2 linked regions of the Stegostoma tigrinum genome follow. The protein of the gene in region 1 binds, or shares a complex with, the protein of each later gene. Links are inferred from orthologs where the notes say so. Each region holds a gene or a part of one and is shown on either strand. Other genes may lie near its edges.

Evidence for each region.
Region 2: the proteins of hcn2b (region 1) and pex5la are in contact, whole or in part, in a crystal structure (PDB 4EQF), measured with the Mus musculus proteins. The link is inferred for Stegostoma tigrinum from reciprocal best matches to the Homo sapiens genes HCN2 and PEX5L. Residues at the interface, in NP_032252.1 of Mus musculus: Leu859, Ser860, Ser861, Asn862, Leu863; in NP_001156988.1 of Mus musculus: Glu315, Glu317, Val343, Asn347, His426, Asn453, Arg454, Ala457, Thr458, Ala460, Asn461, Tyr472, Arg484, Tyr487, Asn488, Ile491, Ile494, Ile537.

Annotation. Positions count from the first base shown.
Region 1 is NC_081383.1:14,353,136-14,361,360, forward strand, and holds the start of hcn2b (potassium/sodium hyperpolarization-activated cyclic nucleotide-gated channel 2), read left to right. Parts: upstream 1-5,052; 5' UTR 5,053-5,621; coding exon 5,622-6,211; intron 6,212-8,225. UniProt on the Homo sapiens protein: Hyperpolarization-activated ion channel that is permeable to sodium and potassium ions. Displays lower selectivity for K(+) over Na(+) ions. Contributes to the native pacemaker currents in heart (If) and in neurons (Ih).
Region 2 is NC_081367.1:37,291,607-37,299,233, reverse strand, and holds the start of pex5la (PEX5-related protein), read left to right. Parts: upstream 1-4,453; 5' UTR 4,454-4,635; coding exon 4,636-4,656; intron 4,657-7,627. UniProt on the Homo sapiens protein: Accessory subunit of hyperpolarization-activated cyclic nucleotide-gated (HCN) channels, regulating their cell-surface expression and cyclic nucleotide dependence.

The sequences.
Region 1 (8,225 bases):
GATTGTTGGAGCTGCACCCTTCCAGGCAAATGAGGACTATTCCAACACACTCCTGACTTCTGTCTTTTAGGTGACTGATAGGCTTTGGGGAGTCAGGAGGTGAGTTACTCACCACAGTACGCCTAGTCTCCGACCTGACTTTGTAGCGACTGTGCTTATGTGGTGACTCCAGTTAGGTTTTTGGTCAATGGCAAGCCCCCGGGATGTTGACAATGAGGGATTCAGTGATAGTAACATCATTAGACTGTTTCCTGCAGCAGTTCAACAAGGCAGGTCATTACCACCTTCTCAAGGCCAACTAGCGACCGACAATATATCCTGGTCAGCCAGTGATGCCCAGGTCCCACAATTGAAGAAAATAAATGTCAAGGGGGGTGGTTGGATTGTTTCTGATTGGAGTTAGTGAATTTGTGTGGTGTAAATGTTACTTGCTATTTCTCAAACAAAGCCTGAATATTGTCCAGAGCTTGTTGCATTTGAACATGGAATGATTCAGGATCTGAGAAGTCACAAATGATGCTGAGCATTGTGCAAGCATCAGTGAACATCCCCACTTCTGGCCTTATGAGGGAGTGAAGGTGATTGATGTAGCAGCTGAAGGTGCTTGGACCTAGGACACTACCCTGAGGAACTCCTGCAGAAATGTCCTGGAGCTGAGATGACTAACATCCAACAATCATGATTATCTCTCTACATTGCCAGGTATGACTCCAACCAGCTGAGGATTTGCCCCCAATACCTTTTTTTTTCAATTTTGCTAGTGATCCTTGATGCCACACTCAGTTAAATGCAGCCTGGATGTCAAGGGTTGTCACTTTCATACCTCATATTACCCCTGGAATATGACTGGGTGTGACTAAGCAGGTAATTGCTGAGCAGGTGCTGCTTCATAACATGGTTGATGACATCCATTAGTATTGGCCGTTGAAGAGCTGTATAGTGCTGCTTTACTTCCTATGTCAGTCAGCCTCACTGAATTAGACATAGGGCATAAATAATCAAATTAATTTACTCTGAATTAGGAAATTAGCATTTTCAGTCGCAAAGAAGAACTGCAAATATTTTGTTATCTCTATCTTTATCTACGTTAAGGAAACTATTGAGATTAACTACCATTTTATGAAGAACTCAGCTTTTCACATGTAGATCAATATGTTGTTTTTAATCTATCTCATTTACAACTGAAAAATTCTAAAATCTAGCTTTACTTAAGGCATTGGAGGAGCAATTGTCGTCATGACAAAAATGCTTGGCAATTTTTTTTTGCAATTGGACTTAACATCCATGAGAATTTTTTAAATCAAATATATAAGGAAACAAAAATTGCCCCCTTTCATTGTAAGCTAATATTTCCTTTTAATAAAAAATGATCATTACATAAATTGGTCCAATCTAAATATTGACAAGATTCAATGGAAAAACTTGAATATAAAGTTTCATAATTTGGTGAGTGGGTAGAGGGTGAGTGATAATTCTAAAGGCAATTCCTAGGGGTTTTGTGGCTAAGCTTGTAGCTGAGCTCAGCAAAGTACAGGTCTTCAAAGTTGCTTGCATAAAGCTCAGCCTAAATCCGCTGAGATCTTGAATTTTTGATGGGAGCTGAATAGGATGGTAGTAGGACATTGTTACTCATCCAGAAGTTGAAGTTAGTTAAGCAAGAGATAGGATGCAAATGATTGAAGTGTCAAGGGTGTTGACATAAGACTCGATCTAAGTGTTCACAGCATATATTGACCAAATGAACACAAATGATGTCATCCAAGGACAGCTTCTAAATAATTCCTAGTCTGAGATGAGTTACTAATCTTGGCCTGTAGCGAGGTGGAGGCAATTTTTCTCAATGTTCAAGTTACAACGAACAATGAGTGAAAGTCAGACACTGCGAGCCTGAACAGTGTAGGAAATTTAGGTAGACTTTGTCTTTGTTTGAATCCTAATTGGTCTTGATGAATGTAAAAACTCAAAACAATATACTGCTAAGAAATAATCATTAATTTGACTTTCTTCTATAATTATTAAGCATATTATCTGAATCCACAAAATATAATTTGTTCTACATTAGCATATAACAAAAGGATTCTTTAAAAACATCTTTTAAATGAATTCAGAGATAGTAAGAACTGCAGATGCTGGAGTCAAAGATAACACAATTTGGAACAATGGAGCATCACAGGAGCAGGAATGTCGACGTTTCGTGTCCCGTCCTGAAATGCCAACATTCCTGCTCCTCTGATGCTACTCAGCCTGCTGTGTTCCTCCAGTTCCACACTATATTATCTTTTTAAGTAAACTTAGATTCTTAGATTAGCGAGTTTTGAGAAGATTTGTAGCTCAGGTTGAGTTTCTGGATGTGAGTTTGCTCGCTGAGCTGGAAGGTTAGTTTTCAGACGTTTCGTCACCATTCTAGGTAACATCATCAGTGAGCCTCCGACGAAGTGCTGGTGTTATGTCCCACTTTCTATTTATCTGGTTAGGTTTCCTTGGGTTGGTGATGTCATTTCCTGTTCTTTTTATCAAGGGATGGTAGATTGGCTCCAAATCAATGTGTTTGTTGATGGAGTTCCGGTTGGAATGCCATGCTTCTAGGAATTCTCGTGCGTGTCTCTGTTTGGCTTGTCCTAGGATGCATGTGTTGTCCCAATCAAAGTGGTGTCCTTCCTCATCTTGCAAGAGCTGTGACAAACACAACATTGGACAAACAGGCAGAAAGCTAGCCACCAGGATACATGGACATCAACTAGCCACAAAACAACATGACCCACTATCACTAGTATCCTTACATACAGATGAGGAAGGACACCACTTTGATTGGGACAACACATCCATCCTAGGACAAGCCAAACAGAGACACGCACGAGAATTCCTAGAAGCATGGCATTCCAACCGGAACTCCATCAACAAACACATTGATTTGGAGCCAATCTACCATCCCCTGAGAAAAAGAACAGGAAATGACATCACCAATGCAGGAAATGACATCACCAACCCAAGGAAATCTAACCAGATAAATAGAAAGCGGGACATAACACCAGCGCTTTGTCGGAGGCTCACTGATGATGTTACTTAGAATGGTGATGAAACGTCTGAAAACTAACCTTCCAGCTCAGCGAGCCAACTCACATTCTTAGATTCTCAATTTGTGCAGTTAAAGTAAGGATAAAATTTCTATTTTAGTGACAGATGTATTAGATAACGTGACAAGCATAACATTTCCTGGTCTAATGCAAACTGATAAAATATTGCATAATTTACATAATTACAGGGAAATTTTCAAGTATGTTTGATTTAGTCATTATTGGAATATAGATAGACTAAAACTAATTGCCTGGAGAAGTAGGTAATGCGCTACAATCTTGAACTGCTGCAGTCCTTGGGGTGTAGAGGTACTCAGTGTTGTTAGCAAGTTCCAGGACTTTAACCTAGCAACAGTGAAGGAGCAATGATATATTTCCAAGTTAAGATGGTGTATAGCTTGAAGGGGAATTTGAAGGTGGCAGCATGTCCATGCCTTTGCTCCCCTTGGTTTTCTAGGTGCTATGAGTTTTGGATTTGGAAGCTTCATAAATATAATCTTTATTTTGATTTGACTTCTTTTGAAAAAAAGGATTATTCTCCAAAATCAAATCTTTTATACATAGTGAATTGAACTCCTTGGTTATGAGGATTGATTCTATTCCTCATATTTCAAGCAGAACATTGACACCGTAGATTTGCCTGAGTCAATATGGAAATGTAAAATGCATTCTGTTAATCCAATATGAATTGCAGGTAGGATTTGAGCATAATGAAATGAAAAATAAGAATGCATCAATAATGAACAAAGACAAGACAATAGATACTGTATTTAGGATTTATTTTAGCATTCCAAGGCCAGGGCTGTAACCTGCTGCAATAATAATAAATAAAAACTGAAAGAACAATGGATGCTGTAAACGAGGAACAAAAACAGAAGTTGCTGGAAAAGTTCAGCAGGTCTGGCAGCATCTGTGGAGAGAAATCAGAGTTCACATTTTGGGTTGAGTCATTCAACAGACCTGCTGAGCTTTTCCAGGATTTTTTTTGTTTTTAGAGCAATAATAAGACCTCGTTTATGAGGAGCAGCGATGTAGTAGTCATGTTAATGGACCAATAATCCGGAACTGCAGTTATTGCTTTGGTGATGTGGGTTTGAATCCTACCAATGACACTTGGTGACATTTGAATTCAAAATAAAAACCTGGAATTAAAAATATAATTTAATGGTGACCGTGTACCCACTATCAATAAAACATCCCTGTTTCATCAATATCCTGTAGAGAAGCAAATGTGCCATCCTTATCAGGTCTGGCAAACATGTGATCCCAGACCCACAGCAATGTGGTTGGCATTTAACAGACCTCTGTGTAACAAGGATGGCAATAAAGGTGGGGTGATGCCCGTGTTCAATGAATAATAATAAAAAAACTTGATACAGTAACGTATAAGGTGTAGAATTCTTAAAGTAATAAGTAACATATTGGCCTCCCTCCGTGCAAAGCCAGTGCTCCTGTCACCTTAAGCTGTTGGACTTTTGCTGCAGGGTACATCAGCCAAGGCACAATCTCCACCTGTAAAAGGGAGCTAAGACGTGTGTGGAAGGGACTGCAACAGCTTATATAGTGTCAACATAAGTATAACATTATATAAACTTCTAAAGCACAATGTTGGACTATTTCAGAAATGAGTTTACTTTTTCAGGTGGGCACAGAAGGATCTCTATTCACCCAGCAGTGTTCTACTTGTTGCGCAGAGGCCATTCTGTGTCTTTGCAGGGTATGATCTGGACGTTCAGTTTCCCCCAATTAATCCTTCACTTGTCGATACAATCACAGCATTTCTGGGTTTTTTTTTAAACCAAAGAAACTCTGCTTTCCAATTGAAATATTTTCTCCTTTGTGCATGCATGCGCGCGCGCGCGCGCGTGTGTGTGTGTGTGTGTGCGCGCTTAAAAACTGCAGTAATCCTAACATACCATGAGGGTGCACCGTTTTGACAGTCTGTAGCAGTAGTTGGGTGCCGACTGGTCATGTTTATTTTTGTGAAGTGTTCGTTTCTCCTACCCAAATGAGGAACTGGGTTTGGGGGTCTAATCGCATACATCTACAGGAAATATCCAAGTTTTACTTGTCATTTCCTTTGTCCTCTAAATGATTTTTCCTAAAAAGAAAAATGTCAAACAGACACACGAGGGCGCCAGAAATATATAATTTTTGGTTTAAATTCTTCCCTCCACCCCAGGGCAAATTTAAATACTCCCTGGTAAAAGTACTCTAGGGGGTTCAATCTAATTGGGCATCATTTACAAGGAGATCGCTGCCTGAAAGAATGAGTTGCACCTCTTCCTTATAAGAGGTTTAAACGAACATCTTCAGGTGGGGATAAAAGGGTTGGATTCTCCCTCTTCAAATGCAGCTTTGCGGCTCGGTTAACCTCCTGAAAAAAGGACTAGGACATCTCTCTGGCTGCCTGCGCCGTTTCAGTAAAAATGTCACGTAGGCGAAGCTCAGGCCACGTCAAAGCATACCTCTCACAGCATCTGAGCAAAACTGCGTCCTAGTGAGCGGAGAAGGTGGTGCAGCCTGCCCCATTAGACAGGTCCCATCATGGACGAAGACGACGAGAACGAGGAGGATACGCGCAGCAAAAGCATCAGAATGAAAGCGATCCCGTCTCCCCCAGGAGGGGGAGCCGGCCGAGGCTACCACAACACAGACAAGCAGCCGGGGGAATCGAACCAGGGCGAGGTAGAGACAGCGGTGGGCATGAAGTGCAACACGAACGGGGATTGCAGGGTGACCCAGGGAAGCCAATCGTCCATCAACCGGACGGATGAGAGTGAGGAGAAGAAAGCCGCGATGGAGGGAGGGGGCGCCTCCCGCAGCGAGGACAAGAGGGAGAGCAAAGTGGCTTTCTCGGCGGAGCCGCCCAGCCGAACATGCTCGCAGTTCCAGCAGCGCGGCAGGAACTCCGTGAGCCTGCACAAGTCCGAAGGGGCCGAGCAGATCTTCCCCGAGGATGCCGAGCAGAACGGCAGTCAGGCCAGCTTCATGCAGCGCCAGTTCGGGGCTATGCTGCAGCCGGGAGTTAACAAGTTTTCCCTGCGGATGTTCGGCAGCCAAAAGGCTGTGGAGAGGGAGCAGGAGAGAGTCAAATCGGCCGGAGCCTGGATTATCCACCCTTACAGTGACTTTCGGTGAGTGTTGCACGAACCCTCCTGTAATAAACACGATAGAGAGAGACACACACACATCTGTGACTGTAGCTCTTAAAGTGGGCTCCACTTGAGTCAGCTGCAACTTGTAATACTGAAGCAACTCGCTGCGGCTGCTTTTCCCCAATGCGGAAATTCAAGTGGTTATTTAGTAAGCAATCTCTAAGAAAAACATAGCAGCCAAACATCTGGACAGACTCATTGATGTAGACAACTGAAGCCTGTCCCTCGATTTGGAGGTGGTGTGTGTGTAAGTATGAATGTGGCTATGGTCTCTGAGAGACGCCGCAGAGATGCAGTGAAGGGGATTTGTCCTCTATTTCAAAGTACAGTGCTCACGTTTGTACGGAGTTAGCAGATCGTGCAGGTGGTCCCAGGAACATGTACCATTACTGACAGAACTTCTTCTTGGGCAGCACATAATTGGTGCCATAAACCACACGTACAAACAACGGTGCAGGCAGCGTATTCCTTTTGAAGAGTATACATATTAGTGGGTCTGTTTCGTGTGTGTGTGTGTGTGTTTGGTTGGGGGTGGGGTGCGAATTAACCTGCTGGGATAGGTGACACTTAAACCCACACCTTCAGGTTGAACATTTAAAATCGTGCTTAACCAACACAGTGTTACTCACGAAACGTTTGGAGAAAGGGTGTTTACCTTTATTGCTTTGATGTTAAGCGGTGCTGGGTACATTGGGTCACCGCTACAGATTTATCATGGGTGTGGGTCTGAGCGTCGATTCTGTCTCATGTCCTTGGGAGGCATTGGGCTCTTGAGGTTGACTTCCCGGTTGTCTCATCTTCCAAAGAACGGAGACGTTTTTAATTGCCACAGTTTGGGGATTAGGAATGGACAAGGCGTGTGTTTGTCTCTTGTTCTGGTGCTTTCTGTCAGCACCGTGATAGACTTAGTTCAGGAAAATTGCGGGTTCCAGCCCAACGGGGACAAGAGACTCTCATCTGTTCCTGCATTAACGTTACTCCGCACCTCAAACTGGTGTGAGGTGACCTCCTGGAAGATTCTATATCACGTTTCAGCGCTTTCCCAAATTCACATCATCGCATCAAACCAAACTAAAACCAGCCAAGCCTCAGTAATTCTGGTTGAAATGTAACAGATTTTTTAAAAATAGAGCTCTCTCGAAAGATAAACACATCTCCACAAGTATAAAGAGCTCTGCACCTGTTCTTTGCCTGTAATCTTTACACTTGGGATGTAACATAAGACCTACACCTTCAGATTCATCTGAATAAACATTTTTGTTCACGTTGCTGCAATTCTTTGTAGTTTCATATCCACTGATATGCACATTTATTTGCCTAAGATTTTGTAACTGGGAAACATTGAATTGTTTATGGGTAGTTTGACAATTACTCATTTCAAGCCATGTAACATTATCAGCTCCCTGTAATATTTGAATTGCAATCATTTTGATGGTTTACTCTCCAAACGCCAAAGTTTTGTAAAAGCTAAACCATTGATTCATTGGTGATACTCACAAGTGAATTGAAAATTTGTACAGCCTGAGCCATTCATCTCAGATTTTATGTTCTCAGCAGAGAGGAAAGAATAAGCTTCAGATATTTTCTGTGAACTATCTGTGACCTTTGCTTTCTTTGGGTCCAGTAATACATATTAGATCATCCTCCTTGCAGTGCTTGTTTCCAGCTGTGGGCATTATTAAAACAGTTCACACACCTGGCAACTAACACAATGCCTTGCAGACTGTCTTTGCACTGAAGTAGGAATTTATTGGGCACATGCTTTCTCCCCTTTAACTCATGATACTTTCTATTAATAAATCATAACTCCTCCAATTTAGAACAAATTGTTCTTCAGGCTGCCATCCATCTTCCTTCTTTCATTCAGAGAGCTCCCCTAGAGGAGATCATGTGTGAATTATGCTAATAACAAATATTGTACTCAGCCACATACAGGCTCCAAACTGGTTATTGATTTTGCTTTCATTAATTCACAAATTTTATTTTCAACCAT
Region 2 (7,627 bases), on another chromosome or scaffold:
CTCAACTGTCCTCACATTTAAGATGATAACTCCTCATTCCAGATTCTCTCAAACAAAAACATCTTCTCCGTATCCAGCAGTGGTCTTTTTTTTTTGGAGCAGCACTCATCCAGGCAAGTGGGGAAAATTCCATCACACTCCTGTTTGGTGCCTTATAGATGGTGGGCAGGCTTTGGGGAGTCAGGATGTGAATTACTTGCTGCAGGATTCCTAGCTCTGATCTGCTCTTGTAGCCACTGTGTTTAAGTGATGAGTCCAGTTGAGCTTCTGGTCAATGATAGGACCCCAGGATGTTGAAAGTGGGACATTCAGTGATGACAAAACCACTGAATGTCAAAGAGCAGTGGTTAGATTTGTCCCTTTATTGGAGATGGTCATTGCCTGGCATTTGTGTGGTGTGAACATTCCTTGCCACTTGACAGCGCTAGCCTGGATACTTTCCAGATCTTGTTGCATTTGAACATGGACGACTTCAGTATCTGAGGAGTCATGAATTGTGCTGAACGTTGTGCAAACATTCCTGCTTCTGACATTATGATGAAGGGAAGGTCACTGATGAGGCAGCTGAAGAATGATTAGGCTTCACACCCCACCCTAAAGAACTCCTATAGAGACATCCTACAAGTGGGTTGATTGTTCTCCAACAATTACAGCCATCTTCTTATGAATCCAAACAGCAGAGAGTTTGCCTCCTGATTCCCATTGATTCCAACGCATCAAACCTCGTACTAGCTGCTCTTTTAGGAACCTTGAATGAATTCCATCAAAGCATGCAACCTGTCAGGCTGCAGCTCCAAGAAATTACTCAGTATCTTTTCTCTGGTTATTGCAATTTCCCCAAGTTCTGTCTTTCTTTCCATTTTTTAAACTTACAGCATGTTGCTATTGTCATCTAAAGTGAAGACCACTGCAAAATACTTGATCAATTCATTTGGCATCTCCTTTCCTTTTAATTTTCCATTATTAATTTGTTTTAAAAATTATTTTCTTAACTTTAGAACAAGTCTTGCCGTACATATATTTGCAGCTATATTCCTTGCACACTAAATTTTTCTCCTCATTAATCTTTTAGTCATTCTTGGATTTTAAAAAACTGTCCAATTTTATATGCCAACCAACATTACACAAACACATGCTTTTCTTCAAATTTAGTACAACCTTTAACATTTTTCAGTTAGCCACAAAAGCTGGATTCTACTACTAGAATTTCCATTCTCACTGGTTTGTGTATTCTGAAATATCCCCTTTAAATGTTTGCCACTGTATGCCTATGGACATGTCACAACATAGTTTGTCATTTTCACTTTAGCTCTACTTTCATACCTTCATAATTTGTTTCATTTATGTTTAAAATACAAGTCATTGACCCACTCTTATTTTCCTCAAACTGAATATAAAATTCAACATCGTCCTCAATGCTACTTGGGGACATCTTCGCTGTGGGGTCACTAAAAATCCTATTTGTTGCAGAATACATGATCTAGTATTGCTTGCTCACTGGTTAACCTCAAAACGAGCTATTCTGAGAAACAATCCCAAAGACAGGGAAGTAAAATCTGGAATTAAAAGTTTAATGAGGACCATGAATCCATTGTTGACTGGAAAAACCCATCTGTTTCACTGATGTCTTTTAGGGAAGCAAACTGCCATCCTTAGCTGGTCTGGCCTAAATGTGATTCCAGACCACAGCAATGTGGTTGATTCTTAACTACTCGCTGGGCAATTAGGGACGGGCAATAAATACAACCTAGCCAGTGATGCCCTCATCCCACGAATAATATTTTTTAAAAATGTCTTATTTCAATTTACGTATCACTCAGGTAATTACCTATCTCTTGAGGTTCTGCTTCCTAATTTGGTGCCCAACTCTTCATACCAATTATACAGGCCCTTTCTCCTTGACCTGCCTATATTAGTGGTGCCTACATGGTGGCTGGATCCTCCTTCTCCCAATATAAGTTACTCTCTAATCTTAAGCAAACCATGGCACCAGGCAAGAAGCATAGCCTTCTGAAAGGTCACTCTCTGCTGCAACGTCAATCTGTTTTTCTCCCCCCAACTTGAATGGCTTCTGTACATGATGTCGTTGTCTCCCTCCAGCCCTCACTGTCATTCAAGCAAGCCAAAACAACCTCAAACCTATCGGACAATTGCAAAGCTTCTTGGTCTCCAGGTTTCGTTGCCTACCTCAGCTACAGATAGGCTCTCCTGTTCCTGATCACTGATCAAATCAAATCAGGATCCCATTCTAAGGTACATTTAATCTAGCTGAAGTGTCATAATGTCTGCAGCTCAACCTCCAGCTCAATGTTTTTGTGCTGGAGCTCAAAGAGCTTCAAACATATTGCTGGATATGTTTGTCCTGGATCTCACTGGCATCCAGGGTTTCCTATCTGCTGCAACATTCACACATTTTCCCCCTTTATTCATTAATAGGATGAGGGCATTGCTGCCTAGCCAGCATTTATTGCCCATCCCAGAATCAACCACATTGCTGTGGATTTGGACTCACATATAGGCCAGACCAGGTAAGGATGGTAGTTTCCTTCCCATAAGACATCAATGAACCAGATGGGGGTTTTCCCAACATTTGGCAATGGATTCATGGTTATTGACAGTTTATACATCCCTCCATAAACCTGGATTAAATATAGAATTTAACTGGCAAACTGCACATCACTGTGAAATACAAATACGTTAGAAAGAGATCAAGATTTCCTTTACTCACCCATCTCTCAGCTCTCTGCTTGAAGTCACGTTTTCCTCCTCCTGATAAGCATAATTACTAGGACTAATTAGTTAATGTATCTATTGATATCATTCAATGAACTGTATGTTGCTGTTTAAACAAATGCCTCTTTTTGTTAATACATACTTGTCATTCATTCTCAACAACTGTTAGCTGAACAGGTCCTTACTGGCAGCAGGAAGAGGGATAGGTGGTAGCACTCTACCCAATTACAGGCTACCAGTAGTTGGTCCTGCGAACATACAACAATAAAGTTTTCACATTGAAGGCAAACCATGTTAAACACGAGAATACTTTTCACTATTGAATTGTGCACGGATGACAATTTGGATAAGCTAGCTGTGTGGTACTAACTTATTGTCATTTTGAGAGAAAACATTGCCTGTCTCATGGTGCTAATCTCACAGTAGTGTGGCTGTATCCCAGCACTCCCACTGTTCTGTGTGAGAACAGAATATTGCAATGATAAGATGTTATGTAGAATGTAGAACAATACAGCACAGTACAGGCCCTTCAGCCCACAATGTTGTGCTGATTTATTATCTAGCTAAGATCAATCTACCCTGCATGTTGTACATTTACTAACATCCATGTGCTTATCCAAGAGTCATTTAAATGTCCGTAACGTATCTGACTCTACCACCACCACTGGCAGCAGCACATTCCACTCACCCACCACTCCACCTTTTGTAAAGAACCTATCTGTGACATCTCCTCCATTCCTTCCTCCAGTCACCTTAAAATTATGCCCCATCATGATAACCATTTCTGTTCTGGGAAAAAGCCTCTGGCTATCCACTGTCTCTATGCCTCTCATCATTTTGTACACCATCCTTGCCTTTATGCTTTAAAAGTTGTTGCAGATGCTGAAAGCCAGTCAAAATGAAAGGAGTCCGTTTCAATTAAACTCAGTTAACATTAGAATTTCCATTGCCAACTGGTGCTCTCTGACTGACAGCTTTATTTCGAGTCCATTCAGATGGGCATAAGACTCCTCTATGCCCTCTCCATTTATGCAAATTTCCAATGCTCTGTTGTACTCAGGCTTTACAGTGCACTGAGGTGGTTGTACCTGAGATGGTTGGGACCTTGAAGTCATCACCTGTTTCTTGGACATTAGTCTGTGGGCTCACTCTCCGCAAAGTTGATGTTTGATTTACTTCAGCTTGCTGCTATGCACGTGTGCTGGGTGAATCTCCCAGTGCAGGTTCCTCGAGCTGATTCTTTACATTATCTTCAGCTGGCGTGTTCAAGAAGTTTCATTTTCAATGGGAAGAGGGTCTTTAGCCAAGATGCTCTTTAGATGTATGAATTCCACCGTCACCGGAACCGATAATGCCTTTAACTTGCCCAGTCTGGCAACAACGTCCTTTTTTTGTACCAGTGCACCTTGTAAAGAATGAAAATGTGTTTGACTTGTTTTTCATTGTGATGCAACTCACAACTTTAGAGCTTGCTGTACAAAGGATGCAATCTGTCCGAGTCAGCAGTGGGTAGGTACAAGGTGAAAACTCGCTGTACGGTTAAATCGTTGGAAGCGGACAGATCCCACAGACCTCCCCTCTGTGTGCACCCCTCTCCGGGTACAGTTACGGGGTCGACCTGCTGACCTCCAGGCTGATAGGAACTTGCCTGTGACATTGTGACGGAACACGCACAGCTCCCGAACCCGGCACGTGAGGAGGAGACTGACAGAGAGAGAGAGAGAGAGGGGCGGGTTCAATCCCAGCGCCGGCCCCAGCAGTACGGACATACAGCTCCAGTCACTTTCCCAGTCACCTTTGAAGAGAGAGCCTGTGAAAAAGCTCGAAACTGCACATCAGCCCCGACTGCTTCCAGACAGACCGCAAGTGTGCAGCTCGTCTGCAGTAAATAACCCATTCAGGATGTACCAGGGGCACATGCAGGTCAGTCAGAACGTAGCCAAATACGTATTTGTGTAATTTTGTGTTTTTAAAAAAAATTTAAATATGAGGTAACCTCAGCATGAACGTTGGCTTTCAATGGTCAAATGCAATTCAGAGCGAAACGAGAAAATGGCATGCAAAATGAAAAGGAAAATGATTGTCAAGGTGATCTGGCTGTGTTAGTTACAGAATGATGCACAATAAAACACAAGTTTTCAGTTGTGCATTCAGGATGCAGCGGCAGGCATATATCATCGCTGGTTAAATTTATACGCGTGTATGCTATCAATGACAGCAGCTTACCTTGGCATAATGTGGAATTACGATCCAGTTTATGGAGAAGGTTAACATGAACTGCGGTGTAGCTTTACATCTAGTACATGTTTTAATACATTTAAGTATTACGCAGAAATATGATGCCTGACACTCGTCGATTCAAGGGCGACGGATGATGGAAGGCGGAAAAGAATCTGCTACGTTTTGCACATTTTAATGCAAATGCTCAGTTGCTGAAGAAAGGCAGAAATTTACAATTTGTGTCTTGCAGATACAGTAGTGTGCCGCCGTGTGTATAACATGGACGCATTGCATGTTTGAGACAATAAATAACTATTACAGGCGTCACAAATTAAACATGCAGGAGTTTTGAACGGGTGTTGTGTATAAACTAATCTACTGATCAGTGCTGGGATTGGAAATCTTGGTGTGAATGATTGTCGGCATTTGGCTTTGTTGAATCCGCAAATTTGTTTCTTTATATAACCATTGTCATCACTGGGAATCCAACTCACTTCGAGTCTTCACATTTTTATTCTTGCTCGCATATCAGTATTTCGTCACGACATTCTTAATTTCTTTCTAAAGATTTCGTACATAATAAAGCAGTTTTCTTATTTATTGCGTGTATTGATCTTCTAATTTATCCATGTTCTGCACGAGTCGCGACATCGGAATGGGTCACGGAACCCTGTCAATAGTGACTGTGAGTGACAGCAACAGGCTTGTAGACTTCAACACTGCCCTTGCATCTCCCTCTTTGACTATCCGAAAACTTCTGTACGGGCATGTTTTAGCAACACAAAAAAGTGACGTTACTAAGGCACAGTGCAGTTTCGTTGTGAAAATAATATAAATCCGCAATACGACTCTTTTTAAATTGCTGGGCTGTCAGAATTTGAATGTCCCAGAATTTTGCTGATCATTCCACCGGAAAATCACAAAGATATATAGGATCAGATATGCTATTGAAAGTAGGCATAACGATCATTTTTTCTAACGTTTAATGGAAATATTATTAGGCATGTTTTTGATGTTGCTTTTCTTTCCCAAGTGTATACCTCTGCATATTTAGTTAAGGGCCTACCGGGATCAGGTGTGAGCAATATTCATTTTTAGTACTGGTTAGTCTCAAATCAGACACAACGTAGAGATCCCTCAGATCAATACGTGGACAACAGATCAATACCAATTCATGCAAAAACAGGCAGTTTTGCCAGTGCATTTTTACACAGTCCTGTGCTCGTAAATTTGTAATTGAAATAATTATTAAATCTTAAGTTTCCACCTTGATAGCTCACTTCTCAAATCTTAGCTATACGTTGACCCCAATAATTATAGATGATAGCAACATACAGTGTTTATATTGATAATTTATGTAGCAAATTAATGGCAATTTGAAAACTCTACAGTATCGTTTATTTGGTAGTTACACTTGAGATAGTTCTTCTGTACAAATTTTAGTCCAACTTGACTTTCTTTCTGTAAAATATTTAAATTCAGTGGAGAAATTGCTCATATAGGGCAAAGGTGTAAAAAGTGATGTTGGACCAATGTCACATTCTGCGTCTTTAATTTTCATTTTAATGATCTAGTGTTTCCTGTTTAACACTGTTGGCTAAAGTCAAAGTACTTCACTACACTCATATCATACAAACTAAATTGCTTTTCTCCTTGTCTCAAATCCAGCTGTATTAGGAGCATGAGGGTTTAAAAGCACTTGATTTGTTTTAGTGCAATTTTATTTGTGAGAATAATGTCCAGAGAGAACTTAGGTATCATGCAAAATTATAGTTTTAAGGGACCAGTTGTGAGATCTGTTTGGATTAGTAATCTGGAGCCCCAGACTAATGTTCTGGGGACAGTGGTTCAGATCTCACTGTGATGGATAATAGAATTTGAATTTAATGAAAAGAATGTAATTAATAAACTGGTATATTGTCAATTGTTTTACGACCCCCGAATTGACTTGATTCACTGTCCCTTATGGGATGAGTCCAGCCACCAAGAAACTCCAGACCCACTGCTATGGTCACAGTTGAATTTGAACTGGCCGAGTAAACCCCACAGTTCAAAGGCAGATCGGGGTGGCCAATAAATGCTGACCCAGCCAGTGTTATTCATATCCCATGAATAAATTTTAAAAAGAGAGATGTGTCATCAACTTCGGAAATAACAAAAATATTCTTACAATCACATTTTTCCACGAAGCACATAGGTAGAATAAATCTGTCGCTGGAATATAATCAAACATTTCAGGCAACGTTTATATGTGAAAATGAAAAGCTCACAACTACTATGTGTTCACCTATGTGTCATGGTTAAAACTTTTTATTTCTACTTAATACTATTGTCTAAATATTTGGCTGATTTTTACCTTTTTGATTTAATAAATTTTAAAATAGCATTTCATCTCAATCCTGCAACATTCCCTTGGCAAGCGTTTGGGTTCCAAATCATTCTATACAGAATAGATCATAGAATCCCTGCAGTGTGGAAACAGGCCCTTCAGCCCAACAAGTCCACACCGAACCTCAGAGCATCCCACCTAATCTACACATCCCTGAGCACTACGGGCAATTTTAGCATGGCCAATCCACCTGGCCCGCACATCTTTGGACTGTGGGAGGGAACCGGAGCACCTGGAGGAAACCCACGCAGACACTGGGAGAATGTGCAAACTCCACACAGACGG